Astyanax mexicanus: one gene and its partners. The protein of the gene in region 4 interacts with the protein of the main gene of each other region in a biochemical or structural test. Links are inferred from orthologs where the notes say so. Each region holds a gene or a part of one and is shown on either strand. Other genes may lie near its edges. The genes, in order: supt6h, syk, rasa1a and erbb2.

What was found.
Region 1: the proteins of erbb2 (region 4) and supt6h form a complex in vitro, tested with the Homo sapiens proteins (2 studies listed by BioGRID and IntAct, with this or other methods). The link is inferred for Astyanax mexicanus from reciprocal best matches to the Homo sapiens genes ERBB2 and SUPT6H.
Region 2: the proteins of erbb2 (region 4) and syk form a complex in vitro, tested with the Homo sapiens proteins (2 studies listed by BioGRID and IntAct, with this or other methods). The link is inferred for Astyanax mexicanus from reciprocal best matches to the Homo sapiens genes ERBB2 and SYK.
Region 3: the proteins of erbb2 (region 4) and rasa1a form a complex in vitro, tested with the Homo sapiens proteins (2 studies listed by BioGRID and IntAct, with this or other methods). The link is inferred for Astyanax mexicanus from reciprocal best matches to the Homo sapiens genes ERBB2 and RASA1.

What each region holds. Positions count from the first base shown.
Region 1 is NC_064424.1:10,126,739-10,134,452, forward strand, and holds the start of supt6h (transcription elongation factor SPT6), read left to right. Parts: upstream 1-4,711; 5' UTR 4,712-4,754; exon of another isoform or gene 4,755-4,857; 5' UTR 4,858-5,050; intron 5,051-7,487; 5' UTR 7,488-7,498; coding exon 7,499-7,604; intron 7,605-7,714. Other genes in the region: sdf2 (stromal cell-derived factor 2), read right to left, coding at 1,782-2,078, 2,156-2,352, 3,406-3,595.
Region 2 is NC_064427.1:26,190,738-26,198,397, reverse strand, and holds the start of syk (tyrosine-protein kinase SYK), read right to left. Parts: upstream 3,014-7,660; 5' UTR 2,990-3,013; intron 1-2,989. UniProt on the Homo sapiens protein: Non-receptor tyrosine kinase which mediates signal transduction downstream of a variety of transmembrane receptors including classical immunoreceptors like the B-cell receptor (BCR).
Region 3 is NC_064429.1:21,770,457-21,778,123, forward strand, and holds the start of rasa1a (ras GTPase-activating protein 1), read left to right. Parts: upstream 1-4,667; 5' UTR 4,668-5,529; coding exon 5,530-6,017; intron 6,018-7,667. UniProt on the Homo sapiens protein: Inhibitory regulator of the Ras-cyclic AMP pathway. Stimulates the GTPase of normal but not oncogenic Ras p21; this stimulation may be further increased in the presence of NCK1.
Region 4 is NC_064422.1:4,071,119-4,078,282, forward strand, and holds the start of erbb2 (receptor tyrosine-protein kinase erbB-2), read left to right. Parts: upstream 1-4,144; 5' UTR 4,145-4,370; coding exon 4,371-4,446; intron 4,447-7,164. UniProt on the Homo sapiens protein: Protein tyrosine kinase that is part of several cell surface receptor complexes, but that apparently needs a coreceptor for ligand binding. Essential component of a neuregulin-receptor complex, although neuregulins do not interact with it alone.

The DNA of each region.
Region 1 (7,714 bases), on a different chromosome or scaffold from region 4:
CTTAATTAGGCCATGTAGTAGGCAGGGATTTTATGGAAAGGGTCTTCCTCTGTCTATTGCATAGCAATACATAGATTTATTTGGAAGTGTAACTGATTCATCACAAAAACACAAATGCAAAAAAAAATCATTTTATTTTAATACTGATGTTAAATGGTTGAAAATCCAACAATAGAAAGATACAGCAAAGTATACAGACATGTTTAGAAAGAAATACTGAGCTTTCTTCATTTTTTTTGTATGCGAGATATACACTACTGGTCAAATGTTCAGGTACACCAACCTTGTTGCTGAGTGCTTGGATGAGCACTACTGAACTTAAATTAACTGAGGATGTCTTTCAAACTCATTTTAAGCATTTCAGCACAAAACTCAATGAATAAATAATGCGAAATTAAAAGATAAAAGCCTATGATTAAAATTATAGAAAACACATTAAATCATGGATTTTTAAACCTTTGACCAGTAGCACAGCTTCAGATTTGTCATTGATTTAAAATACAGTTGCTATCGATGAACTGTTGTTGCAAGCAGCATGTCTAAATAAGGGATAGGGAGACTTACATGAGCAAATGTGTCCAATGCTAGTCCCTTCCACATAGTCAGCATTCAGATTTTGATATAAAATACATTTTTACATCTAAAATAAAAACAAATACTGTAATTCTTAGCCCTTAGCGTAGGAGGTTGACAGCAGGAAGGCAGCAGCAGGTTGGTCATTTTGCCTTCAGTTAAGGAAAGACTGGGATTTTGTTTTGTTTTTTTCCAACTCATTAGCTTAGGTCAAATGTATGAACATTGATTAATCATGGATTATAAAACATGCATTATGCTGATTTATTTTTCAATAAAAAATTGTTTTGTTTAAGAATTTACTACAGTATATATAGATATGAATATGCATACTGATTTGCATTTTTGCACTGAAATGTTTTGTGGGTTTGAGGGTTTTCTTTGGGAGTTGTGTAGTAAGTTTTGTTGTATGGGGATACATGTATGGGAAATGTTACATGTCTATACTACATATTTCTATTAAGTCTATTTGTAAATCTGTAAATGTATGTTTCTGCTTTCTCGTTGCCTTGATTAGCACAATGAATTAAACATCAAACACTGTATTTACCCTGTAAATGATCTGTGTGAAATTCTTAATAACAGAAAATATCCTACATTACTTGCAGTTCCCACATATTGCCTTGTCCAGCCAGGACTGTCTGTTACCTTAATGCATCTCCTCCTTTGAACACTATCACAGAATAATGTTTTACAAACAGATGTTCCACTGCAAGCACAGTGAAAACATGTTGCTTGTTGCTTCAGACACTAGTTTTCTCATACAATCATCACTGCTAAAAAAAACAGCTCAAGACTAGCTGGTCATCCAGAGAAGAAAAGAGCTAATTTACCAGTTAGCCTAGCAGAATAAGTTTTTTTTAGCAGGAATAGACAGTTCAAGCATAATATTTTCCTTGTTCCTACACCATTATTTATTTTCCAGTTCCACGGATAATTGTGTCCACTCACTGTCCACCTTGTAGATGCAATCAGAAACAGAGGCATGGTAAAACGAATCATAGACTGCAGAGTTAATGTAACCCAGGCATTCTGTAGTGATATTGATGTATATATTTTTAAGAATAATTGTCACAAGGAAATTCTTGTATTTCAAGTGTTTTGATATGAGGTATAATTTAATGAACAAGTATTCTGTAGCAGAAATAAAACATTACAAATGAAGAAAATACTGTGCTGTCAAACAAATTGATTGTTGAAGAAACCATTCAAAACTCAGTGTGTGGAAGACTGCTGAAGTCCCTGGGCCCTGTCTCACTGGGCTTCATGAAAATACCCTCCATGGCCTTCCAGTAGCTATGTTGGCTGGTGCTGGTCATGGCATGTACTTCTCTCTGGCCGTGGATGGGTCTGCCATACTGCTCACCTGTTACTGAAAGCAGAGCGTCTGTGGCAGTGTGGCGGAAACGCACCGACTCGTCTCTTTGCCACGTAGATCCTCCACAAAGTACAGTCCACTCATCAAGGTTGTCGCCCTCGCCTTCCTCTCCAAAGGCACTGACCTCCTAAATGAGAAAGTCATGTTAGACTACCCATGGTTCAGATTAGGGAATGCATCCTTAACAAGTTAATGCTTGCAAACCTGGTTGGAAGAGAGTGGAGATGCAAAGTAGTGACTGTGCAGATTTCGTCCTGTGTTAACATGTGTAAGCCTTATGTTTTGGCCACATTTTACAGGGGTCCCTCGGTGACACACTGCACCACTTGTCCCACGGACACTCCAGTAGCTGTTGCTGTCTTCAACTGTGGTCACTCCAGTCACTGACTGCTGACCACTACCTGAGGTATAATAATAACAACAACATTTGTGAGTAGCAAATACAAAAAAGTTAATATATATATAAAAACATTTAATGTCTAGAGGATGTAGTGCTGAAGATCAGAAGATCAGCAGGTACAGAAATGCTTAAACCAATCATTTACGATCAATATATTACAATAAAAAGTGACTTTTACACAATTCACACTATTGATATTTAAATGTGGGTGTTGTTCTTGGTTGTTTTTCTTTGGCTTCTTTTTGTTTATCTTGATATTTGAATTATATTGTATCAATCAAAATTAAGAAATACATTACCAGTCAAGAGTTTGGACATGTCTTAAATTTTGTGGTTTTATCATAAAGTCATCCACACTTATCAATAAGTAAACAAAAAAGTGTTAAACAAACCAGAATATGTTTTATATTTTAGATTCTTAGATGACAGCTTTGCGCATCTTGGCTGGATTTTCTTAGTCAGCTTTATGAGGTAGAGTCACTTGGAATGTTCAGCTGTGCTTAACTCGTCAAGAGTTAATTACTTGAATTTCTTTCCCATCTTAAAGTGTTTGAGAGCATCCGTTGTAAAGTTGTAAAGAGGCAGAATTGGTATACAGTGATGAGCTCTATTTGAGTAATGTTTAATCCATATCATATTATATCAAGAACTACTCAATTAAGCAAAGAAAAAATACTTTAAGAAATACAGGTCAGTCTAAAACAGGAAGATGAAACTGGCTCGCATCAGGACTTCCCCAGGAAAGGAAGAGCAAGAGTTTCCTGTTGTACAGGATAAGTTCTTTAGAGTTACCAGCCTCCGAAACCACAAATTAACAGCACCCCAGATAAGAGCACATACATGCTGCCTTACAGAGTATTTTGGTTTGTTTAATATTTTTTTACATGTGCTAAAATTATTCCTTATGTGTTCCTTTATAGTCTGGGTGAATTTAGTACTATTTTACAATGTAGGGAAAAACACTGAATGAGAATTAATATACTTTTTCTCGGTCTTCAATGTTATTTATAATGGATATGAGAAGTGTAAAAAATAATGAAAGGGATTTACTCACCAGAGCCGTACCGAACATCGTGTGAATGTAGTCTTACGTTGTGCTTCACGTTGAGCAGCTTAACAACCGAGCCACAGGTGACGAAGCGTATTTCTGAGCCTAAAGAGAAATGACACATAGATGATAATAAGACTGAAACCCAGAGAGAGGCTAAAGAAAGAGCGCAGTTCTCCATTATTGTAGCTTTCATACAGCCAGATTTACCCAACACAGCAGGGTAAGAGCTACGTAACACCACAGTGCCGTAGGGCCGCTCTGCTGGAGCGCAGCGCCTCGCTGTGGGTCGGAGTCCTTCTTCCTAAACGAATCCTGCTGTCCTGCAGTCTCTTCTAGAGAAGGGGCTCTTCTGGTACACATATTCTCCTATGTTCATATTTGGTGTTCGGTTTCTAAACTAAATTTCTCAATTTCATAAAAAAGTAACACAGAATCAACTGTACATTTTATTACAGAGAGTATAAAAATCCTATTAAATGGAAAGATGTACAACAAAAAATGTAAATCACTGTACTCTGCATTAAAGGAATTTTTAAGAATGCTTTCCCTAGTGCAAGCCAAAATATGATAAATACTGTGTAACATAAGATTATGATGTTTTATGTTATTCTATTATATATATTCTGTTATTTTATGTTTTATGTGTTCTCAGTTATTACCTAATGTGTATTATTTAGTACTTTTAATTTAATTAATTAATTAATTAAAGCTTCCATGTGTGGTTTATGGAGAGCCTAAAATGCTTATTATGCTATTATGCATATTGTTAAAATAGTATAATTGTATGCAAAACATTTACATCATCTTAAGAGTTTTCATCAGTTTAGAGTTTTTTTTTTGTTTGTTTGTTTTACTATGATGTTAGGATTATGAAAAAAAATCTTTTTGAACTGTTAATACATTTCCTATGACTGTATTCCTATTGGTTTATTTATTCATTTAATTAATAGTTTTTATTACATGGCAGTTTCTGCTTAATTTTTTCAAATGGCTTCCTGTCATAATTTTGTCAGATAGTTAATTGTGTTGATCTGTCTGTCTGTCTGTCTCTGTCAATACAGTCTACATTTGTCTTCTTCCTTTTTTTCTTTCTTTTTTCTTTCTTTCTTTCTTTCTTTCTCTCTTTTCTTGATAAATTCATTGATATCTATCTATCTATCTATCTATCTATCTATCTATCTATCTATCTATCTATCTATCTATCTCAGATACTGTAAAAAGATATACACAGTCTATGATCCATCTATAATAAACATTATGAGTACTGCGCATGCTCTGAGCGCAGTGTAGCGGCGGGCTGGAGTGCAGCGCCTGCGTGCGGCTCGGAGGGGACTTTTCTGAAGGGAAAACAGGTACACAGTACGGTCTGATCGCCATTTTTTCGCTCACGTTTAGTCACGTTTTATATTAGATACATCTGAGTCGGTGTGTATTTCTATTTTTCCTCTGTTTTAGGTGTAAATTATTCTGAATCACGGCTGGGTTGGGAGTTGTCAGTGCAGACCGGACGTTGCTTTAACTCCATACCGGAATTAAAGTCCCGCTCCGGGCTCGGGCAGCAGGTTTGTTGTTAGCTGCTGTGAACGGAGCGGTTCTGGATCGCTGACGAGATTTCTCAGGGTTTAATCGAGAGGCGTCTCGGGAAGAGGTAAGCGTGGCCGTGTATTGAGTTTTTAGGGGTCAGGCGAGGTGGATAACTCGTTAGTTAAGATCTATAATGTATAATTTTTAAAAGCTGAATAGCTCGTTAGCCTAGCTTTGTGAACGTTAGCCTTGTCGTTGAGCGCTGGAGGCCTTGTTTTCAGTAGAGCTCTCTCTCTCAAACGCACAAAAACGGTATTTTACATTCATAGCAGATAGCTAAGAGTTAAGATAGCTTATTCAGGTAGTTGTGGTAAAGGCTTAATTGGCGTTGTTTTTCATTTGTTAGCTTATATTTCGTGTTTAGCTAGCTATAATGTTGAGCTAGGGTTGCTGGCTTCTACATAATGTCAATGTGGGGATGTTAGCTAGCTATGCTAAGCTAAGCTAGATGGCTTTACCTCGCTAGCGCTATGCTAGCACAAAGCTAATCAAAGATAGGTTAACTACATCTACGCAGTGTTTTAGCTTGTTTAACTAATTAACTACCTCATCTCATGTTTAAGCTTGAGCTGTTTGTCCTATATATTTATTCTTAATCCATATAACGTCTGCTACAGGTCTATCTAACGGTTAGCTATCTATTTAGTTAAGACTCTTATTGCAGCATTGGATGTTAGCTAGCTAATATTGGGAACTAAATACTATAGTGCTAAATAAATATCAGTACTTAAAGAGAACGCCGGTTCGGCTTTAACTTCTCAGCAGGCCAGGGTTTTTGTCTATTGTCAGTTGTTACACCACTAAATCTTGAGGATTTCTATTCAAGTATTACATAAAAAGCTTTCATGTTTAATGAAGAACGTTATTAAAAAGCAGAATTGTGATTGTAATAGAAAATCTAAAAAAATATTTAGGTAAATCTCGTGTCAAAATATAAAGTATAAAATCATAAAATTGGCTCTTTCCTGAACTTCATTTTAAAATTAATATTTTCCTTACAAATCAAACAGTCCATGTCTTCGTTATGTTTGTCTAGTTTTTATGTCTATTTTCAAACATGCAGAATTTGGGTTGATTCCTGTTACTGATCTGGAATTATTAAGTGGAGTAGAAAGTGAACAGGCAGCTTCTCAAATTGTCCTGTAGGAGATTTCAATGCCCTCAAATTTTCAGAATGTAAATACGATATTTTACTGCAGAAAAAGGGTTGTGTATCACCAACACCTGTAGCCTGTATATGGGGCAAGGCATGTTAAGGAGCAGTAGGGGTTAACCTGGTTATATAAGATAACTAGCTACGCTATAATTGTAACCCTGGAGAGACAGATTTCTAGATGATCTAACTAATTTAGCACTGGTATTATGGAGATCCCAATGTTGTAGATCCTAATAAATGCTGCACGGTTAGCTAGTTAGTTAACTTAGCTAGATAGGTTAGCTATTAACAGTCCCACATTGACATTATGTAAGACCTAGGTAGACTAAGTATTGGCTAAATATTAAAGATGGGTTAACAAAGAAATGGTCTTGACCTGTGGCATAGTGTGTTGCTCCTAGGCAACAAACAACATTTTTGGTTACTACAACTTTCTGTCTGTATAATGTTACATGGCATATCTACCTTCAATACACAATGCATGCAAGTGGGTCAAAAATATAAATATGAAAAGAAGTATATGTCTGTCAATTTTCTTACATTCTTGTTGTAAACTTACTGTTAACTGTTTGTTGTGCAGTTGGACTTCCAGTTAGATTAATCATGATGAAGTGGTTCTCATCTCTGATTCTGAAGACCTACTTCTGCCATTCACGTTTCAGACGCTTCCTTGCTCTAAAACACAATTTTAGATTTTGACCTTTGATAACAAACTGATCATTTAAATTTAGTTTGTTATATCCACATGGAATCTCAGTTTTTCTCCCGAAAGTATAATTCATGCTATAATGGGTTAATTCAAAGAACATCATCTACAGGGGACAGACTACTTTGAGCATTAGTTAAATTCTACTAGTGCTAGATTAGCTAGCTAGAAGTTTGTCTCTCCAGGGTTAAAATGTGCACCTTTAGCTGGAAGGTATTTTATTCTAGCTGTTGTGATTTTTTTCTTATTGTATTGTCGGTAAGCATATTAAGGATATCATCAGTACGACCCAAGTTTTGTGGATGATATATTGTCCCAGAAATTATTGCAGTAAAACATATAGTTAAATGCCACAGACACAATAATAGATTGGCATTTTAAAGAAAACAATTTTTTTATTAAGCATAGTTATTTTTATAACCTTTTATATACTTCTTTCTTTACCTATAGCAGTTCACACTGTGTGTCACAATTATCTGGAGTCACAATTATTAAAGCATTGGTCATTGCATGACTGGTTAAATAATGTTCACTGTTATGTGTAGTATTGTATTTTCCACTCTTAATGAGCTGACAAAATGATGATGATAAAATAATTTCCAGTGGATGACCTCTGCCAATTTGTATCTGTTTCAAAAGCCCTTGCAGACATGTCTGACTTCATTGAAAGCGAGGCTGAGGAGTCTGAGGAGGAGTTTGAGGAGAAGGATCTGAAACCCAAAAAGACTCAGAGATTTATGGAAGATGATGAAGATGGTGAGCAATCGGGTTTTGCATTTGTCAAAAAAGGGCATATTGGAAATAAATGGCTTGCTGCCCCAATTTGTGTATGTTTTTAGGTATTTTATTTGTAAACTGTGTCTTTA
Region 2 (7,660 bases), on a different chromosome or scaffold from region 4:
AATGAAAGGATGGGGAATAATGTGGAGAGGGTTCAATTACACAGAGATAATCACTCATATTCTGTATCTCTGTTTCTTTTGTTCTTCTTTTATTCTATCTCTCTGTGCCGTCACAGACCACAAAGCATGTCTGTTCCATTCCCCAGATCAGCAGCAGAACTGGAAAAAGGAGACAGACCTGTTCAGGGACAGAACGTATTAAAGAAAAAAAAGGGTCTCTGAGTTTATGACCTGACTAAATGAGAAAGTGCAGAATGGAAAAAGAGAAATAGTGGAGGCCAGAGGGTGGTGGAGGAGGTGATGTGGGACGTTTCAGAGCGTTCAGAATCCAGAAGCTCTCCACGCATCACTTCAAGAACACAGTGTACTACAAGGATGGTTTAAAGGTATAGAGAGTTAAATGGATTATTAGGGAGTTTATAACAGCAATAAATTGTTCAGTGTGTGACCTCAAGATGCCCGTTAACGTTTTTAACACAGCGTGGACTCAAGCTGCATTGACTCTACAGGTTTGTGTAAAAAAAGGTCAGTTACTAGGACATCGCCTGTTCGAATCCTGTTTATGTAGCTTGCTATCGGCTGCCGGAGACCTAAGATTTTGATAACGGCAACATACATCATAATTCTAGACCACTTGGGTTGGCCCATTCATAGTTCGTCCTAAAATGTTCATCGAAGGTAAAAAGTAAAGGTAAAAATTGGTGGTGTGATGAGGTTTTGATAAGACAGCAGTGACACGTATATTTGTGAAGCTCTCTGTATAATGTAATGTCTCTATCACTCTCTGAATAAGGCAATCTAACAAAGTCATTTTAGGAAAGTGCTCAGCGCTGAGTGTCCCTGTAGAGAATCTTCTGGCCTCATGTAAAATTCATGCATTCAAATTGAGGCAGTAATATAAAATGCAATAACTTTCCATCCCTTCACAAAAATATGTAAAAATATTTGTCTGAGTCCAGAATAACCTCAGAGCGAAGAGCAATCTCAGAGACGCGTCCAATTTTAGCCAAACCCCAAAATATTCATTAAACCTTGATGACTGTCATTTTGGTGTTGGGTTTATTCATTGTCTGCATGCCTCATCAAACACTACAAACTACAATATCTCTCTCTTTCTCTCTCTCTCTCTCTCTCTCTCTCTCTCTCTCGCTCTCTCTCTCTCTCTCTCTATCTATCTCTTGCTAGCAGAGCAGAGCAGGTATTGTCTGTAGTGGTGGGTTGTTCTCAGCACTGCAGATTGGACACTGGTATGATGGTGGTTTTAGTAGTGTGTGTTGTGCTGGTACAAGTGTTCAGACACAGCAATGCTGCTGGAGTTTTTAAACACCATTTGTTTTTAAATGCCATGCACAATTTCAGAAATGCTATGTTCAATACATCTGGCCTTCAGAACACGACCTTGCTCAACTCAAATTCCATTCTATCTATCTATCTATCTATCTATCTATCTATCTATCTATCTATCTATCTATCTATCTATCTATCTATCTATCTATCTATCTGTCTGTTTGTCTGTCTGTCTGTCTGTCTGTCTGACTACACTGCAAAAAACTAAATCTTAGCAAGTGAAAATTTCTAAATTTAAGGCAATAAAACTTATTTTCTTCTCTGATAAGACTTTTTGTCTTACTAAGTGTTAGATTATTTTGCTTATTTTATATTTATCTATCTATCTATCATATAATAGACATGATTGTGTCATTCCTTACATTGTCAGTCTGCACACATTAAAGACTCCAACTCCCAGCATGCACTTACACCTTCCGGACTCTGCTGATCATATGATGCTACAGTGTTCTAACTCGCCAAGCTTCTGATTACACACATCTGGACCTGTTAATATAATTACCTTTATGTTTTTGTTCCTTGTTGCCTGGTATTGCATTTATTTCCTAGCTCTTTTACCTTGCATTTCATTTGTTTCATTGTATGACCCATTTTGCCTGCTCTCTCCCTGGTATATTGTTTACTATTGCTGCCACTTTGTTACTGTCCCTGCCATTCTAGTCTTTGAGATTAGCTTGTGTATCTGTTTCTTGATACTGTGTAAAAAATTACCCTGCTATCCTTGTGCAAGTCAATTTTCCCATTCCACTGGAAAATTAATCCAGCATAAAGACATACTTTGTAGTAAAAAAAAGGTAACTTACTCTTCTGCCCTACAACTCTGTGACCAAGCAGTCAACCATTAAAAAAATTAAATATACTGTAACTGACTACCCCAATACATACTCAAATATGTGTGTTCTCTATCCAAATAAATTGTTAATTTTATAAAACACAATAAAATTATGTAACACAGATTTTACTCCAAATTCCTCTTTCAGTTGCTTATTCAACTATTTTGTGTAAATGTTACACAATTAACAACCCTATGAATATATTTTTTTACAGTGTAGCTTTTTGGCCAAATGCTATCCCTAATGCTATCGCTATAACAAGTAGGCAACATTAAGAAATTGTCCAGAGAGAATAAGTGGGCATCTCCCACGCCAGCCATCATTCTGCCCTGCTTTCTGGCCAGCCAATCACAGCAGCTGATAACAACCTCCCACAGACCGAGAAAAATGGAGACGGACAGAGAGGAGAGTGAAAGAGACAGAGAGAGACAGAGAGAGAGACAGAGTTTGTCCCAGGAGACTGAGCTTCCTCTCTATGCATAGTGTATTACAACAGTATTAGCATTAGCAAACACAGCAGTCCTACACTACAGGGTGGGCTGTGCACCTCCAGCAACCCAGCGTGATGCACCTCCCTCCTTAGATCATTCCTACTGGAGCCCAGCAGCAAACTCAACCCCCCTCCGTACCCTCCCAGCCAGCCCATGCACAAACAAACACACACACACTTGCAGATCCGAACTTCCGAACATCCGAAATCCAGACACAACATCTATAACAGCTAAAAGATCCGGTACAGTAAGAGAAGCAGCAGCCGAGCACAAGCACGCTGTAGGCTGTAGGCCCGAGGCACCTTCTTGTTCCCCTACCTGCGTGATCTCGGTCGCACGTGAGCTCTTGGCCTACATCCAGACACATCCACGCGCAGCTCTGTGAACATCACAGGCTCCTCTTCACACACTGCGTGAAGCTCAGCTCGCCTCACGCTCTCTGGGGCTATAATTGGATCGTGGCTCAGTCGTGCAGAGGAACCCACCGTCTTGAAAGGAGGCTCTTTTTTCTTTTATTATTTGAAAACATGCATTCTCAGGGTATGTTCCAGTTTGGAGGCACGCCCTCGCCGGCGGTGGCCCGCTTTCACGTTTCACGATCCAAGATCGGTGTGTTTTTTCAGTTTTTTTGGTGCTTGGCTGCGGGTGATAAAAAGGTGTTGAGCCATCTGCTCTGGAGGAGGCGCACTCTGCAAAAATAACTCAAAAAAAAATGACTTGATGATTTAGTTTCCCTAAAGAAAATTTAAAAACTTTATATTGACAGACTACTATTTACTGCCACATTCCATCTATCTAGGAACTACAGGGGTTGAACAATGAAACTGAAACACCTGTCACACCTTTTAGTGTGGGAGGTTTCAGGGCTAAATTAGACCAGCCTGGTGGCCAATCTTCATTAATTGCACATTACTGCACCAGTAAGAGCAGAGTGTGAAGGTTCAATTAGCAGGGTAAGAGCACAGTTTTGCTCAAAATATTGCAATGCACACAACATTATGGGTGGCATACTAGACTTCAAAAGAGAACAAATTGTTGGTGCACGTCTTGCTGGAGCATCTGTGACCATGACAGCAAGTCTTTGTGATGTATCAAGAGCCACGGTATCCAGGGTAATGTCAGCATACCACCAAGAAGGACCAACCACATCCAACAGGATTAACTGTGGACGCAAGAGGAAGCTGTCTGAAAGGGATGTTTGAGTGCTAACTCGGATTGTATCCAAAAAACATTAAAATAAAAACACGGCTGCCCAAATCACGGCAGAATTCAATTTCCACCAGAACTGTCCGTCGGGACAATAAATGATTGTGGTCTAAAACCAGGTGTTTCAGTTTCATTGTCCAACCTGTACACCATGTTCCAAATTATTATGCAAATTGGATTTAAGTGTGACAAAGATTTTTTTTTTGTTTCTCAATTAAACCCATGGATGGTATTGTGTCTCACGGCTCTTTGGATCACTGAAATCAATCTCAGACACCTGTGATAATTAGATAATTAGTTAGCCAGGTGAGCCCAATTTAAGGAACACTACTTAAGAAGGATTCCACATTATTATTTTTATTAAGCAGGCCACAGGTTTTAAGCAACATGGGAAAGATAAGGGATCTCTCTGCTGCCAAAAAGCATCAAATAGTGCAATGCCTTGGACAAGGTATGAAAACATTAGTTTTTCACGTAAACTTAAGCGTGATTATCGTACTTTGAAAAGATTTGTGGCTGATTCAGAGCACAGACGGGTTCGTGCAGATAAAGGCAAAATGAGGAAGGTTTCTGCCAGACAAGTTCATTGGATTAAGAGAGAAGCTGCTGATGCCTCTGGAGTCCCACGAACCTCAAGGTGTAGGATCCTTCAAAGGCTTGCTGTGGTGCATAAACCTAGAAGCTAGAAACATATTAGAAACTAAAAAACGCTGCCCTGATCTGTGGGATATGCATATAGGGCATATGGTCCTGCTCTAACCTGCAACCCATCTCAGCCACCCACACTTGAGAAGATGGGATTAATTGCTCATGGTACAGTATGAGCAGTCAATTACAAATACCTACCGAAGGCTGGAATGGAAATAACCTTTTTATACAAACTTGGTATAGCATCATCATTGGATTCTTTTTTAGTTGATCCAAGTTTCACTCTATAGAAGTCCGAGCACCAGCTTAGAGAGTCTGTCAATGTCTGTGTAGAAATGCACTGTGGAGTTCAAAGTGGAATGAATAGAACTCGAGAGAGAGTTATCCAGTTAGTGTTATGAAAAGGCTTTTTTGCTGCTTCACCTAGTGGGCATGTTAGTTTTACACATTCTACAAGCATTCTTTCTTTTTAAAAGATTGATGAAGCAGAAGCAGTGTACCAAATGAAGCACAACATTGGCTCAAATGAGTGTATGCATCCATGAGCATGCTTGGTAGTTTAATTTAGTGCCCTATTTTAGCGATCTAAAGGTGAGCCGTCAACTGTGCACCATGCAGCTTGATTAAGGACGTGTCAGTGTTTCTTTGCTATCATAACGTTGGGAAAAGTACTCCTTGCACGGCTCGAAACACTCAAAAGACATGTATTAATTATCTCAATTAATCGTGGGTGTGTTTTGGGTGTAATGTGGAACAAACCAATCAGTGTCTCACTTACTATTTTCTTTAAGAGCCAGGTATGCTCTGACTTTGGTGGATTGCTATTTTAAAGGTGGAGCTACCTTGACGTGTCCAGCATGTCTAAGCAGAGGAAACTGATTTACTCGCTCATGCTCTAAAGGTGCGTGAGTAGGTCATTAATGGGAACAGCAATATATATTTTTTGGATTCTGTTTATTGTTGGTGTAAAAGTTGGGTTTGTGCACTGATGCATGTCCTTGTGTGTGTGTGTGTGTGTGTGTAATGTGCAGGGGTGTACAAGCATTGTGCAAGCACAGTGCACCTGTTGCCAAGATAACAATGAAAGTCGTACTGTTTACGTTTATCTGACATTTTTTTCTGTCACTGGGGTACCTGTGTTTTCTATTGCCAAGATAGCAATACGCAAGACATTTAACTAAACACACCTTATTTTGGGACCACCACACCTATCTGCATAGATATATATTTACTAGCTCCATTGCTATTTATACTGTTGGCAGGGTGTAAGATAGCAAGAAGCAGTAGGTTGAAAGATAGGGCCCAAAGAAGCCTCCCATAGAGCTGCTGTATCTCTTAACCTAAAAACCTCAGAATTGCCTAATTAGAGGAATTCTGGCCAATCACATATTTTTTTATAAACCAGACAATACTAATACATAGTCAATCAATTTACATTTAATTTTAAATTAAAATTATCATTTAGAAAATTGCTAATAATTCTCCACACAAGGCTTTTGGTGCTTCACATCAATGTCACTGCGTGTCTCTGTTAGCTTAATTAGTTCTGAATTAAACTACGCTTCAATAATAACACAAAATAAGGTTGGAATGATCGGTTCATTTATTTTACAATGGGTCAGAGCCACCTCGGTTCCAATTCACTCTGAAGACAAGATTTGGTCAGGCTGTTATATAACACAGAATGATTCAGATTCACTGAGGCTTAGAAATAATTTTAAAGGTGGTCTGAAGTGGGTCTTTTCAAGCTGTGCTTTTTTCCGTAATTTCATTTGCACTGCAGGTCACAAGAACTCAATAAGCTCCTTCTGCAATTGCTAGAACATTCAGATCCAGTCTGCAGCACAGTTCAGGGAAAAAATATGAGTATGCTCTGAACCTCTTAACACCTCGGAAGATCCTAAAGTAGCTAATTAATTGAAAGGATGAATCACTGACAGGATTGAATGACTTAAGGTGTTGTAAACTCTACAGTGACGTTCATCTCAACAGCAGTCTCACCTTAGAATCGACAGCATGGAACAATTTCAAACATGGGAAAGTGAATCACTACATGGACATGGCTTCCGAAAATAGCAAACTAATTAATAAACTAGTTAAAGGTCTCCTTCTGCTAAAATCCACCTTTTTCTTGTTCTTTGTGAAATACAAAAGGTCTCTCTGAGTTGTATATGAATGCTGCGCTTGAAACTGTTCTTGTGAACACCACCAGCGAAGTACAATTGAGACAGATAGGTGTATGTTTAAAACAGTTCTGCTTAAAATAAACTAGTTAAAATAAAATCCACCCCAGGGGTTTGTTCCAACTGACTGGGTGGCTCTGCTGCGGCTCAGCCAACCCTGGGGTGGATTTTTACTTTTTGAACTTGGACTACCCACCTCTGTGTAAATAACTATGTTTACATAGGATCTCCGGTGGATTTGCCGTTTTACAGAGACTCTAAGACTAGGTCAGTGGCTGAACTGCACTTAGCAGGGCATTACACATGTTGTAAAGTAACATATGACGTTGCAAAGACTGTTATTAGTGTAAAAATGTCTTTATTTTAAAACGTTTTAACTGTTGTCCGTCTCACTGCCTCGCAGTGCTGTTACCCAATCAGAGGCGATATGTTAGTATGAATTTGAATGAATATTCATGAGCAAGAGCCACAATCCTGTTAAGTGTTATACCGGATCACTGGAGCACTTTTTTTCACAAAAAAACAGCTTACATTGCTTTCATTTACATAAGAGACGACAACTAGACATTTTAAAATTAAGGACAAAACGATGGAATGAGACCTTTAAAGCAGAAGTTCTTAAGAATCTTAAGATTTCTTTTCTTTTACACTGAAAGCAGAAGAATTCTTAAGCTATGATGAGACAGAATATTCTAATTAATGATATCAGTGTCCTAAAACAAACATCCCTCCAATTTCTATATAATATATTTCATCTAAAAACACAGTGGTCTAGTAGGTTTAGGTTTATTGGATGAAATTGCTCTCTACTGCTCCCTAAAACTTATCTACTGTTGCTTGAACTATTGTTCCTCAAATCATTCTCCAGCAGTGCTTGCAGTATAGCGTGATGTAGGTCTGTCATTAAATAATATGTAACACCATTTCACACTAATATTAGGTATATCATTAT
Region 3 (7,667 bases), on a different chromosome or scaffold from region 4:
CAGCCTGTATGGCAGGACAAAGGACCGTCCCGCTTCCCCACAAATCATACCCCCATCAGGCAGCCCGGCACCCAGCAGCGTGTTCCAATGACGCCCGGGAGAACACGGCCCACTCCTACCTACAGCACAAAGAAAGAATTATTGCTCTTTGGATAAGAACGAGTGAGGAACAATTTGTGTGCAGTTTTTCTCTTCACACAGTCTCACACAGCAATCCAAAGCTTTCCACATGCAGTTATTGCAAAGGCTGTTAAAGTGCAACATTTAGAATAAGCTTGATTTGCAAACAGTATGAATCCTAGATTTTTCAGGTGTGCAACAGTAGTTGTCAGAAGTTGACCTGTAAGTGTACCCTTGTTTTCTGCAGCCAATTCCCTTGTAATCTGTGTGCAGCATGTGGTTTTGCATTGTCTTGTTGAACAAAAATGTGAAAAACTCATTAGAAAAGATCTCTTATGAAGAAAGTCTTATGAAGGCAGCATATTGTGTAATAAGATCTCAGTGTAAATTTCTGTGACCCTCGCTTTTGGATTTGATGATAAAAAAAATGTCCAGATGATCCTGTGTTTTTCTTTAGTCTGGAGCACTAATTCTGACCATCTGACCACAATATACCATACTTTTTACTCTATGTGATGCTCCATCCCAGATGCCCCCAAGCCCATGAAAATCAACACCACTTTTGGACATGGGTAACAAAAGACTCCTGCAAAGATTTGCTTTAATAGTTGCTTTTATGAATGTGACTCCACTATACTGCAGTTCTTGCCAAAGCAATCCCTTTCCTATGATTCTATCAGCGGTTGTTAAATGACGGTTCTAGATTCAGTACCATCTGATGAAATGAATATGACAGGTGTTCGGCTTAGGCTTGTGCTCTCGCCATTTATGCACTGAAATTCCTCCTAATTCCTTGAATCGTTGTGCAATGTAGAGGGAGAATTCAGCAAAACTGTTCCAATCTTTCTTTGAGGATTATGTATTGGCATATCAATTCTGTTGTACACTTCCATTTTCTCCACTTGATACAATAGGGTCCTTTTATAAAAAAAAGGATGCAACTTTACATTTCATAGAGTTGTTAGATAACCGAAACCCTCCTAGTCTGTTAGCAGAACAAGACATTACCCAAAAGTCGTTTTTATTACAGTATATTGTTATTGTTGCGATTCATTGCTTTCATCACTGTAAAGCTGGTGTTACGCCGCCTTATGCAGCCTCTACCGAGAGGGGGTGCTTTTTCTGGCGGGGGTGCTGAATTCGGCACCATAGTAGTGTCGAAATCTGCACCCTCACCATGGAAACACCCTCTCTTGGAAGAGGCTGCAGGTGACATGATTCTTTTTCCTTATTTCTTACGAGTCAGTGTAGCTTACAACAGTATCTTGGGTATACTGTCAAGGTAAAGCCAAGAAGGTGTGGGTGCGTGCTCCTGAGAGGGGGTGCTTTTCCTGGCAGGGGTGCTGAATTTGGCGTAACACCAGCTTTACAGTTATGAAAGCAATGAATCGCAACAATAACAATATACTGTAATAAAAATTACTTTTGGGGGGGCAAATTTACCTATTTCTGATATTGGGGGGGACACATCCCGCCCATACCCGCCCCAGTTCCAGTTCCTACGCCAATGTTGGGGATCCTCTTTTTGTATCAAATTATGATTATGATCAGTAATCAGCGCGTAGGGCACCTAAAAATCAAGCTCATACAAAAATGATCATAAAAATAGTAAACATAATATTGGCATATTTAAATAAAATTATGTATAACATATTAATAGATACACACAATACAAAAGTAACATATTTGCTTGAGGAAAAAAGATTGGAGTGTGCCTCTAGGCTCTGCAGTATGTGTGCCAACAGTTTCTGGAATGTGTTACAGGCCTGAAATGCAGGAATTGAAGTATATTAACAAATGAAATGAAGCTGACCAGACACGACTCTAATTACCGCTGAGCTGCATTAGCCTCTTAGCCTCATAGCTTTAAAACAGACACCAAATTAGATTTTTGGTTAAAGCATCACTTTAGCATCACTCGCTCTCTCCCTCCTGCCCCTCCCCCTCTCCCTGCCTCCTGTTTGTTGGCCACATTGGTTGGCCATGTGTGCGGTGTGTGTGTTTTGTGTGTCTGTGTGTCTACGGGGGGCTGGGGAATCAGGAGGAGGTCACGTCATGTCAGAGCCGAAGCCTGCCACAGCGCGGAAAGCGGGGGAGGCTGAGGAAGAGGAGGAAGTTGATGAAGACTGACAGCATATGTCAGCAGGCTCCACGTCAGGGACCGGGCTCTGCTGGCGTCTGCTTAAGAGACGTGAGAGAGAAGCATAAAAAGAGCAATCTGCAAAACGGTTAGGGGTGTTATAGGGCTGGAGGGGCATGATGGAAGATGAGCTGCTGAGAGATTGCAGAAAGAGACAGTGATAATGATGGAAGTGAAGGGAGCACATGTTCCATGAACTACGAAGAGGCCGCAAGCAAGAAAGGCAAAGGAGTAAGAAGCAAACACATATAGTATATCAGACTGAAGCTACTGGTTATCCTGTGGCTTCTAGTATATGTATATGTGTGTTTTAAGGTTAAGGAAGTGTCAAAATTATAGTTTTTGCTAATTGAGTACAGCAATTAAGAAAAACATTAAAACACATTATCCATTTCTCAGATATATTGAGCATATATATATATATATATATATATATATATATATATATATATATATATATATATATATATTTCTTTACATACTTTATTATCTGGGTGTACTACCTGGGTGGTGGGTCATTCTTCATTTTTCAACATGTTTTTTCAACACGCTTTTCAACAAGACAATGCAAAACACATGCTTCACACATTGCAAAGGCATGGTGTTTAAAAACACCAGCAGCACAACTGTGTCTGATCCACTCATGCCAGACCCACACATGCACTAACACACCACCGCCCTGCCAGTGTCAGGAGCTCTTGTTTTTTAAATATTCTGAACATGAGATGCTGTACAGTGCTGTTCAATATCAAAGTCAATTTTACCTATACAGCCCAGATAAAAGGGACTTGGCTCAGAAATTCTACAGACGAAATCACATTTGGAGATGGCAGAGTGCTTAGTCAAATTACTAACTGTACATATGGGAAATGCCACTGAGCGGAAGCAGATGTTTGGAATGGAGACAAGAGTGGCAATGAACGCAGATGCATCCACAGCCCGGCTGGTTCCCATAGTTACATCAGATTTGCATCCAATTTCCAGCAACATCCCCAGTCTCTTTTAAGCAAAACAAACCTGGCTACTGGAGAAGATCTATTGTCTATATTGTGTCTAGATTATTTGTATTGGCCCCTATGAGCAACCTATAATTCTAACTACATCAAATTGTTGTAGTCAGTCGGCCAAGGCATTCAGCTGCTCAAACTGTATTTATTTAGAATAATCAGTTTCTCTGGTTTAACTATTTATAGGTATATGTTTTAGTTAAATGAACATTGTGGTTTTATTTTATTCTAAACTACTGACCACATTTTTCCAAATTTTCAAATAAAAATATTGTCATTTAGAGCATTTATTTGCAGAAAATGAGAAATGGTTAAATTAACAAACAAAAAAAAAAAGATGCAGAGCTTTCAAACCTCAAAGAAATCAAGTTCCTGTTCATTTAAAAACAACAATACTAAAGGTTTTATCCAAGGAAGAGTTTAGAATCGATAATTGGTAGAATAACCCAGATTTTTTATCACAGCTTTCATGAACTGCTTGCATTTTTGTGCCAGGAGTGGAATAATGTCACCCAAAAGCAGTGTGTTAGACTGGTGGAGGAGAACATGCCAAGATGCATGAAAGCTGTGATTAAAAATCATGGTAATTCTACCAAATATTGATTTCTGAACTCTTAAAACATTAGCATTGTTGTTTCTAAATTAACGTGTTTTCTTTGCATTATTTAAGGCTATTCATTATTTAGACCATTTTTATTTGTAACTTTGAAGAAATGCCGTCAGTAGTTTACAGTAGTAAAACCACAATGTTCCTTGTACTTAAACACATACCTATAAATAGCAAAATATATTTTTATTATTATTATTGAAATTATTCTGAAGTGGTCTAATATGTTTTCCAGAGCTGCATAGCAAACATTAGCTAGCTAGCTCACACTAGTAGGCAAATATAGTATTAAAATATTATATTAATGTTTGTTTTATTAAATATTGAACATACAATCCTAAAATTGTACAGTCAAAACTTTGTATGGGTACATCTGCAAGATACTTGCTATATGTATAAGTTAATCCTTAGCTTTTCAGATAGCTGTGATTTTTTTTTCTGCACGAGCAACAGATCTCATCGAGTTTGTGAACAGTTGTGAACAGCAACGAACCGATTCATCTGAACGGTCTAGCTCTGATTTAGTTCAACGAATCGAATCACACAATACAGGAAAGAAAGTAGTGAGACCACTTTTCACAAAACACAAACTATGAGCATAGTGTAGTCTTTTAGGGGCTTGCGTTAGTAACTGCACTGAACTGTTTATTAGCTGAACTGTTAAGAGTGTGGACTATGAACGGGCGCAAACATTGAGTTAGACGTTTAACGTTGGAGAGTCGGTTCGGCAGATTTCAGAGTGATTGAAAAGAACAGAACGGTTCATTGACTCACTGAATTCACGACTCTGCGCTCTGTTAGCCGGGTCTTAGGGGGGGAAAGGAGTGGGACTGACTGGGAGCAGCTGTGGCAAAATGTCCAAGTAATCTCGAAAGAAAAGCGAACTTGCGCAGGAGGAAAACATTGCAGCCCGTTTTTTGGGGTGGAAATGAGGAAAGCGGCGGGTTCTGGGCGCTAGGACGCGGGGGTGGGTAGTGTGGCGTGGTGGAGGAGGCGGATTGGAGTGTTTTTTTTTTTTCAGGACTGACTGGAGTGGAAAGAAAATAACAGCCACAGAGAGTTAACCTAACTAGCTAAAAAACAAGAGGACTGGCTTCAGACCGACAATAAAAGCGCTTATTCCCGTCAAGTGGATTGCCAATACCTACTGGAAGGCAGGACGGGTTGTTTGTCTTGTGTTTTTGTGAGGTTTGGGCGCTTTATTCTTCATATTTTGTGTGGAAATTTTTAATTTTTCTGTCTTTTTCTGGCTAAACTCGAAACTCAGGAAACAATGAAGACATAACTCATCGAGTGGCCGTCAGCTAGCCTGGCTAGCTAGCTAGCAAGCAAGCAGGCATCGTGTGGAGCGAGCGAGCTAGCTAGCTTAGCTAACCTAGCTAGGTTAGCCCTAGCTAGCTAACGTAGCTAGTTAAGCGAGCTAGCGTAGCTAGGAGACAGCCACAGCTAGCCTGGGAGCTAGCTAGCTAGTCCAGCTGAGCTGAGCTGAGCTAAGTTGAGCTTAGCTGAGTTTCCCCCCTTGAGGAAAGTTTATTGTACGTCTTTTTTTCCACACACTTGAGGAAATATTTGAACGTGGAGGAGTTTAAGGATAGAGAACCGCACAGCCGCAAACGCCCCGCAGCCCCGCTTCTCCACCGCTTTCCCTGCCTTCAATGGACGCGGAGGTCAGAAACGAAGACCGGCCCACCGTACAGCCAGGGAGCGGGCTTACGGCCTTTTACCCCAAAACCAGCCGGCTGCGGGTGAGCGAATTCCGCCAGCAGCCTTCCCACACGCCGCTTGACAACCTCTCCGACCTGATGATTTACCCAGTGGCGGGGGAAGAGCTGTCTGCCGCGGGGAGTGGCAGCGGCGGTAGCGGCCAGCCCGGGGCTCATGGATCAGGGAGCTCAGGGACTGCAGCTGCTGCCGGCGGAGGCGGCGGCTGCTATTCCCCCACTTTAGAGGGACCAGATACCCGGATGTCTCCCACCTCGGCCGGCACGGACGGGCTGTCCGCCTTCCCTCCGCTGCCCCCGCCGCCACTTCCACCTCTTGCCTACGGGGCTCACGGCAGCGTGGACGAGAGTGACCAGCAGGATGGACCAGAATGCGAGGAAGAGGAGGCTGTGTTCTCCCTCTCCGCGCCACCCACTAACCAGTAAGGATGGCACCCTTCTTCTAATGCTTTCCACAAGTCTTTCTAGTTCCTCACAGGCTTCTTATAAAGCTGCTGAAAAAGCTACTAAAGTTCTGAAGTGGTGCTAAACTATGCGAAAGACTTGGTGTGTAGGGGAAAAAGGTTAATGAGCACAAACCTTTGTTGCTTCACATTTCATTGATAGAATTTTGAGGGCACTGACCTTTAAAACGAGCCACTGAGAACTTTAAAAGTTTACAAGAAGTTTATTTTTTTTATTATACTACAGTTAGTTCCGACCCTACAGTGTGATTGGCTGTGAGGCGTTCTGTGATTGCCATTATCACCTGGTAATGCACTGTAACAGAAACTCTGTTTTACTCGGCTGCATACAGGTAACCTAGCAGAGATGCAGATTGCAGAACTTACCAGTCAAACAGTGCAGCTACAAACAGAGCAGCAATGGAACTGTTTTAACTCACATAGTGCTTATGACCAAACAAATCGTATTTTCCGTCCTCTTTAACTCAAAATCTTTTAATAAACAGCGATACTGGAACTGTGGTATAATCACAGTAATACATGAGTGCCTTCAGGTGTATTTTTCGGCATCATCATAATTTTGTAATTAAGTCACAAAATCGACTGATGAGCCTGAACGAATAGGTAGGACAGGGGAACAGATTACAACATTATTTCTGTGAAAATGCATGAATATTTTAAAGGTCACCTTCCGTCGTTTTTTCTTTCATTTTAAAATGTCTAGTTGTGGTCTCTAGTATGAATGAATGACATGTGAGCCGTTTTTGTAAAAAAAAAAGTGCTCAGGTGTCTCTGTATAGCTCTTTTTTAATGGACTGTTTTAGGGGTGTGTCCAAAATGACCGGATTCCAGCTTTGCTCATGAATATTCATACATGCAAACAGCATGCAAATATCTCTCCTCTGATTGGCTAGGAGCACTGCGACGCCCCTCCACCGCTCTGCCGCTCACTGCCTCCCACCTCCTAACTGATGAGCGGTGATGTTGCGTCGCTTCAGCTCCGCCTCTGGGAGTTTCTGGAGCCAAGGTGGGCTGGTCTGTGAGTTTCTGCCTACGTAGGCAGAAAGATAATTCAAAATTCACCCGTTTTTCGGAGGGGGGGAGGGGGGATTTCTTTGCTTAGCTCCTGCAGACAATGGGGGCTGCAAAACAGTTTAATGTGCAGGTGTACACATTCAACTCGGAGAGACCTACTGTATTCCACAAAAAACAAGAAAAATCGGATTTTCGCGGAAGGTGACCTTTAAAGATATTTTCAGCAACAGCTGGAGTTCAACTTCCCCAAGGTACTGTGGTAATAAACAGTCTTTTTGTTTTTTTTAAATAAACTACCGGTACACATTCAAAATTCTCAGTGCCTTGTTTTAAATGTCAGGGCCCTCGGAATTCTACCAATGAAGTTTGGCACTACTTCAGTGTTGTGTTGCCATATATCTGGTAATATGTATATATATCGATAATTCTAAAACAAACAAACAAACAAAAAAAAAAACGAAATATCTCCAGCCCTAATAGAGACTCACGTGGGGCTTGTATAGCAATCAGATTTTCTATTTTGTCCATGGGTTCCACTCATTCATATGAATGTCAGTGATTGGCCCCTCAGGGTTGTTGGAGGAACCAGAATGG
Region 4 (7,164 bases):
TCTAATGCAGGACACCACGAAGGAGACATTACTGCAACAAAAAGAATATTACATTTTATTTTGTGATATTATTGCATATGGTATGGCACACCCCTAATGGTACTAATAGTGCACTCCATATATCCAGGTCTGAAGGAGGAAATATATATATATATATATGTACAGAACAGGCCAAATGTATGGAAACACCTTCTCTTTTTCAATGCGTTTTCTTTATTTTCATGACTATTTACATTGTAGCTTCTCACTGAAGGCATCAAAACTATGAATCAACACATGTGGAGTTTTATGTACTGTACTTAACAAAAAAGGTGAAATAACAAAAAAAAAACATTATACCCTAGTTTATTCAAAATAGCTACGCTTTGCTCTGATTACTGCTTTGCACACTCTTGGCATTCTTTCAAAGAGCTTCAAGAGGTGGTCACCTGAAATGGTTTTCCAACAGACTTGAAGGAGTTCCCAGAGGTGTTTTGTTGCCCCTTAGCCTTCACTCTGTGGTCCAGCTCACCCCAAACAATCCGGTTTGGGTTCTGGTCCGGTGACTGTGGAGGCCAGGTCATTTTTTTGATAAGTACATAAAACTCCACATGTGTTCATTCATAGTTTTGATGCCTTCAGTGAGAATCTACAATGTGAAATGAGATGAGAAATGGCTGAAATAACAAAAAAGATATGGAGCTTTCAAAACTCAAGTAATTTAAATAAAACAAGTTCATATTCATAAAGTTTTAAAAGTTCAGAAATCAATATTTGGGGGAATAACCCTGGTTTTTAATTACAGTTTTCATGCATCTTGGTATGCTCTCCTCCACCAGTCTTACACACTGCTTTTGGATAACTTTATGCCACTCCTGGTGCAACAATTAAAGCAGTTTAGCTTGGTCTAATGGCTTGTAATCATCCATCTTCATTTTCATATATTCTAGAGCTGTATATATAAAATTGGAAACGAGAACAGTGTGAATTTTCTTTTTGCTACGAGCAGCAAATGAGTTTTACTCTGATGGCCCATATGGCCCTAAAATAATATATATGATATTTTAGGGAATGTGTGCAATAACAACATACATTTGTTTGGCAATATTATTGCACACAATACGATATGGCGCACCCCTAATTGCTGCATGTCTGAAGTTTGGGAAATAGTACATTGACACTACACAACAGTACTAGCAAAATGTTTTTTGGACAAAGATTGAACTGTTGCTGCACTGCATCTGGCATAACAAAAGTCACTGCACATCACCATTAAAACATCATCCCAACCATACATAAGTATGGTGATGTGAGAGTGTCCTTACATCAGTTGAAACTCTTTTGAGGTTGGGTGATGCAACAGGACACTGACCCAAAACATCAAAGCAGCGGAGCAGATCCACAACAGAATGGCTTATGAGAGTGGCCAAGTCAGAGCCCAGATCTCAGATGCTGGATTGACTGGATTGAGGCATCCAAGAAATATGACAGAGCAAAAGCTGTTCTGCCAGGAAGAAAGGGCTAAAATTCCTCCTGAACAATATGCAGGTCTGATCCACAACAAATGCCTGGCTGAGGTAATGGCTGCCAGGGGCAACCACTTTAAGTTTTGAATGGGGGTGCTCTATGTTATTTTACGCATGTTGCATTTGTTAATACCCTAGAAACTAGTAACTAGTAACTTCTCTGGATGACCCGGTCCATCCAAAATACTTACCGGGTCCTACAGGTACTTTAACTGTACATATAAATAAAGAAAAACAAGCAACAAGAGTGTAACAACTAGGTAAGTTTCTGAAACTTACCTTTTACTTTCCCAACAGGTATGGTGTAATTGTTCACTATAAATCAGTAAATACAAAATACTTATTGGGTCCTACTCGTACTTAAATCTTAAATATAAGTACAAGTAAAGCACAGGGGAACCTGCAATTTCCCTAAACTTATGTTGCAATTTTCATGAAATAATATATATATATATATATATATATATATATATATATATATATATATATATATATATATATATATATATATATATATATATATATACACATATATATTATTTTGCCCTTGGTTCATGGCAGTTATGAAGGCTTGATTTCAGTCACCCTCCAGGGAATTATTATTCTATTAATTTTATGAGTTTGAAAAAAGAAGATTTTTTAAAACTGTCATGGGTGGAGTAGCTAAAAACAGTCAGAGTGGAGCAGGAAGAAAACGTACAGCTTAAAATTCAAGACTAAAATACAATAATATATATATATATATATATATATATATATATATATATATATATATATATATATATATATATATATATATATATATTCTCAATAACAAAATCAGGAATGCAGAGATTTTAAAGAAAATATATTAATTAATACACAAAAACTACAAGGTTTTATATTATTGGTTAATAAACCCACACCTCACCTGATTTTTACTGTTTTTACTCTATAAGTACACAGTACTTCCTCAGTAAGTAGTTAGAAACAACAGGGAGTGGGCTGTATTATGTAGTGTACAGTGTTTCACTGGTCTTACTCTGTAAGTACACAGTACTTACCCTCTAAAACGCGGGCTGTATTATAAAGCGTTACCAAATATAACTGTTGTTGTGTCATTTATGTTTACGTTTATGTAACCTTAAAGTATTTACCTTAAATATTTACAGTCTTGTACCCACAATAAGAAACAAACATAAATGAGCTGCTCACTAAATTCATCTGAATTCATTCTGAATATTGCTACATCAATCAGTAGCAATGTTCAGAAATGGTCTGGGCTATTATGTCAAAACCAGAAAGGTATAGTAACGAAGTAGAGGTACTACTGTTCTTAAGTACTAAAATGCTGTATCTTTATCTACTGGAGTATTATTTTTACTTCACTACTGTACTTAAGTACTAAAATACTGTATCTGTGTCTACCTTAACTTCACTATGTATTTTCCACAAGTTTAATACTTTTACTACAATATATTATTTTATGTGCTAATTCATTACTTGATTCAATTATAAAAATTCCCCATTTCACATTATCACAAAGCAGTAGATGATGCTGCTCATTCTTGAGTGAATCAAGAGATCAAACTTATCTTATAAGGGCTCTGAGTGGTTCAGCCGGCTAGCGCCTGCCACTATTATCAGGAGATTTCCCGTTTGAATCCTGTTCATGTAGCTTGCCATCAGCTGCCGAAGACCTGAGAGAGCACAATTGGCCTTGCTCTCTCTGGGTGGGTAGATGGCACACTCTCCCCGGGTGATGTCGATCAGCACAAGGCGTCTGTGAGCTGATGTATTAAACCTGAGTTGATGCGTTTTCCTTCGAGCGTGCTGTGATTGGAAAAGAGGTGGCAGTTGGAAAAAAGACAGTGGCTGACATCACATATATCGGAGGAGGCATGTACTAGTCCTCACCCTCCTGGTGTTGGGGCATCACTAGTGATAAGGGGGGGTCCTAATGAGTGGGTTGAGTAATAGGCCATGTAAATTGGGAGAAAATAGTCTAAAAATTAGAAATTTTATAGGAAGACCTCGCTGCTCCCGTTCTGCCTTTTACTTTCAGAACTCCAGTACTACATTTTACAATAAACTACAATACTTGCAATACTTAAATACAAATACTTGAATACTTTAGTTCTTCCACTTAAGTGTGTAGCTTAAAGAACACTACAACTTCTACTTAAGTCACTTTTTTGATAGAGTACTTTTACTCAGGTCTTGCTCTATAGTGTTTTATACCGGTCTGGTTATGAGCCAGGCTTCTCCAGTGTCTGAAAACAATCTGTGCAGCTCACCGTGAGTAAAACAACCAGTCCAGCTTTAATTCCCCACTCAATTAACCCAGTGCACAATCACAATAGATAAACAACACACCACACTGCATTACCAGAGGCAGCTGCTGGAGTCACAGCCTGCCTCCCGCTCTGTAATTGGCTGATACCCAGCCTCGTTTAGTTTATTTGGCCAGCAGTGTCCCACCTGCAGCGGTGTGATTGGATTTCTCAGTTTGAGTCCTGCGCTGGGATTGGATAGAAGTTCATATTCTTCAGTTACGGGACAAGCTATGAACTCCGGCGGGTGCGAAGTCTTAGCCAATCGGGGTGCGGTGGGCGTGGCCTGTCGGAGACCCAGTGGAGCCCCGCCCTTCCCCTCCCGTGCCCGGGAGCGCGCCTGCCTGCGGGAAGCTCGTTCCTGAACTGGCGGAGCGGAGCTGAACTCGGAGCTGTACTCGGAGCGCTGCCCGCAGGAAGTTTTACAGACTGAAACGCGCTGAGGGAACCGCAGCACGGGAATACACACTCTCCGCAGGATTATTCCCAGCCTCCGGGGAGCGTTGAGGAGTTATTGAGCGGGTGATTATGGACTAAAGTCCGGCGGAGAGCGATGGAGGCGGTGAGAAGTTTAGGGCTCGTGCTGGCGCTGCTGGCCGGGGCCGTGGCGAGATCTGCGGGGAGAGAAGGTGGGTCAAACCGCCGCATTCCTCAACCAAACACTCCCCCAAACCCCGGCCTTCACCGGAGAACAGCCGCTCACAGCCACTGCAGCGTGTTTATAACCCATAGAGCGAAATGTTTTACCCTAAAATTACTTTAACAATAACTTAAAGTCCTAGCTTAACTTTTTAATGGTAAAAACTTACTTCTACTCACAATTTTTCCATGGTAAAAGCTCTAACTTACTACATCTACTGTATATCAAACTGTGTAATTTTGACTAGCCATATGTTTTGACTTAGCATTTATTTTTATTTCACATTGTCCTATCTATAATTACTTAGCTACAATTACATTTTTTTGCTAGTAAATGTAAAATTATTCTGAGATAAGAGAGAGTGGGGAAAAATATGAAATTCCATGTCAATAAAATAAAATATCAAACAAAATATCAACGTTAAAACAGTAAAATTAATCAAACACTGTGTGACCCTGGATCCAGGCTAATATCTAGTCTGCAGGTTTGATTATGTTATTACTATTAAAAATGAACTGATATCAGAATTAGAAGTAGTACAAACTGTAATACAGAAATCTTGAATTTGAATTTCTTGAGCTATACTAGTATTATAGAGTTAGGACTAATGACTGGGCGATATTGTAGAAAAATAATTTTGATATACTTTAGATATAAATGATTAACGATAATGATTATACATTTAGTTTTTACATAACATCTTCATTTGCACCATTTTAAGTGATGCACAAGCTACTGTTTCCTTTACATTTAATTCAAGAAATGTTTTAGTTTTAGTAAGCAGACCCCTTTAACTTCACATGCAGCTTTTATTTCAAACACAGTGCAAACATAACCTCCTTGACAACAACAGCTGATGTGGATATTTAGACTTTCTGACTAGGAACAATATAAAGGCTCTCAAATCTACACCTAAAACCAGGCCTTTTTAGTTTTCAAAACAGTACTTATGGTCAGTTTATTTAGACTGTTTGACCAAAAAAGACCAAATTTGTAGACCAAAACTAAATCCGGGCCTTCAGAGTTCAAACATAGCCTCCTTGTACTTTAGTTCAGGGAAAGTATAAAATATGAAAATCACTGAAAACCACACATAATAGAGTTCTTTATAGTTTTCTATCTATTGAGATCCACTCTGGCAACCTCTATATGTACATATATACAGTCTCTATTTCCCCATTTTGAAAACCACATAAAACAGTAATTCCATTAATTAATTTGATTAACCTCCCAGCCCTACTTAGGACTCATATCCCTGTTGTGATTTTAGTCTAAAACAATTGTCCATATTGTAGATATAAAAGGGCTGTGGCAGGTTTTTATAGAATTTCAGGCTGCCTACAGAGATTTACTCAAGTGTTTCCACCACAAACTGGCTTTACCACTTTACTGTGACTGACAGCAGAGAGCAATCAACAAACTCAAATCATAAAACCTGCCTTGTAGACCAAAACCTAAGCCTAAGGCTTTGGTCAGGAGCAGTGAGCTGTTTTGGTGTGGGTATCTAAGAATTTCTCACTAGAAAAAGAAAGAGTAGAGTACACTTTAAAACTTGAAAACTTTAGTTTTAGGCAGGTACACAGTGGACAGCAACAACTGATGTGGATATTTAAGACTTTTTAACTATAAACACTTTAAAAAAGACTCTAAAATGTGGACAAAAAACAAACTCAGGCCTTTTAGGGTTTAGTTAGGTTTGCAGAACAGTACTAATGTTAAGGTTATTTAGACTTTCTGAATAAAAAGATGAAAATTGTAAAACAAAACTAAATCCAGGCTTCAGTGTACACTCAAGTGCTTACATCTCAACACTAAATGATATTAGCCTTTCTGATGGGAAAAACCTTCACTTTCAGACAAAAAATACACTCTATACAAAACTATCATTTAATTTATATATTTATTAAACACTGAACATTTATGTGAAACACAACATTTAATCTGTCCCTAGTTAAAGTAAAATATATCAATAGACTTTTATATAAATTCACAAAATATTATTTAGATACTCTATAAATACAAATACACTACGACAGTAATACTTAACATGAGTAAAAAATTGAGTAAAACCGAGCATTTTTAACTGCACCATGTATAATCTGTTATCCTATGAATTCAGTCAAACAGAAAGTTCTTCAACTAAAAGACAGCTTTACTGAGATTCTAGGCCTTCGATTTTAGTTTGATGTGCAAAGAAGCTATAGGTTCTGATTTTAAAGTCTTCATCTGTAGGCTAAACCAAACCTAAACTCAAGCCTGTTTAGAGGTTAAAGGACATTCAAATTTAGGGCGGCACTTTATTGGAAAATATTACAATATTAAAAATGCAGTTGTTAACACCAACTTTTGCTAGAAGTAGGTGAGCCAACATGGCCTGGTATTAATATTCTGTGATCATTCATGCTGATGCATTAAAGCTTTAAAAAAGTAATCTCACCTGGCCAAAACTACACCAGCACTACCCATTTTTATAGACCGAAACTCTGTTTAAAAGAAGCTAGATGGAAAAAAAAAATCTCAAGGCAGCTGAATCATCAGGTGTTAGAACTGAGGTCACTTCATGACGGTCCTCAGTGGTCGGAATGGTGTTGACGGCATTGCACCTGCCAGTTCTAGGCTCATTTCCAACATCTAAAAACACACAAACAAAACTTTACAAACTTCAAATGTAGTTTAACTTCGCACATGTGTCCATAACAAACCTGCT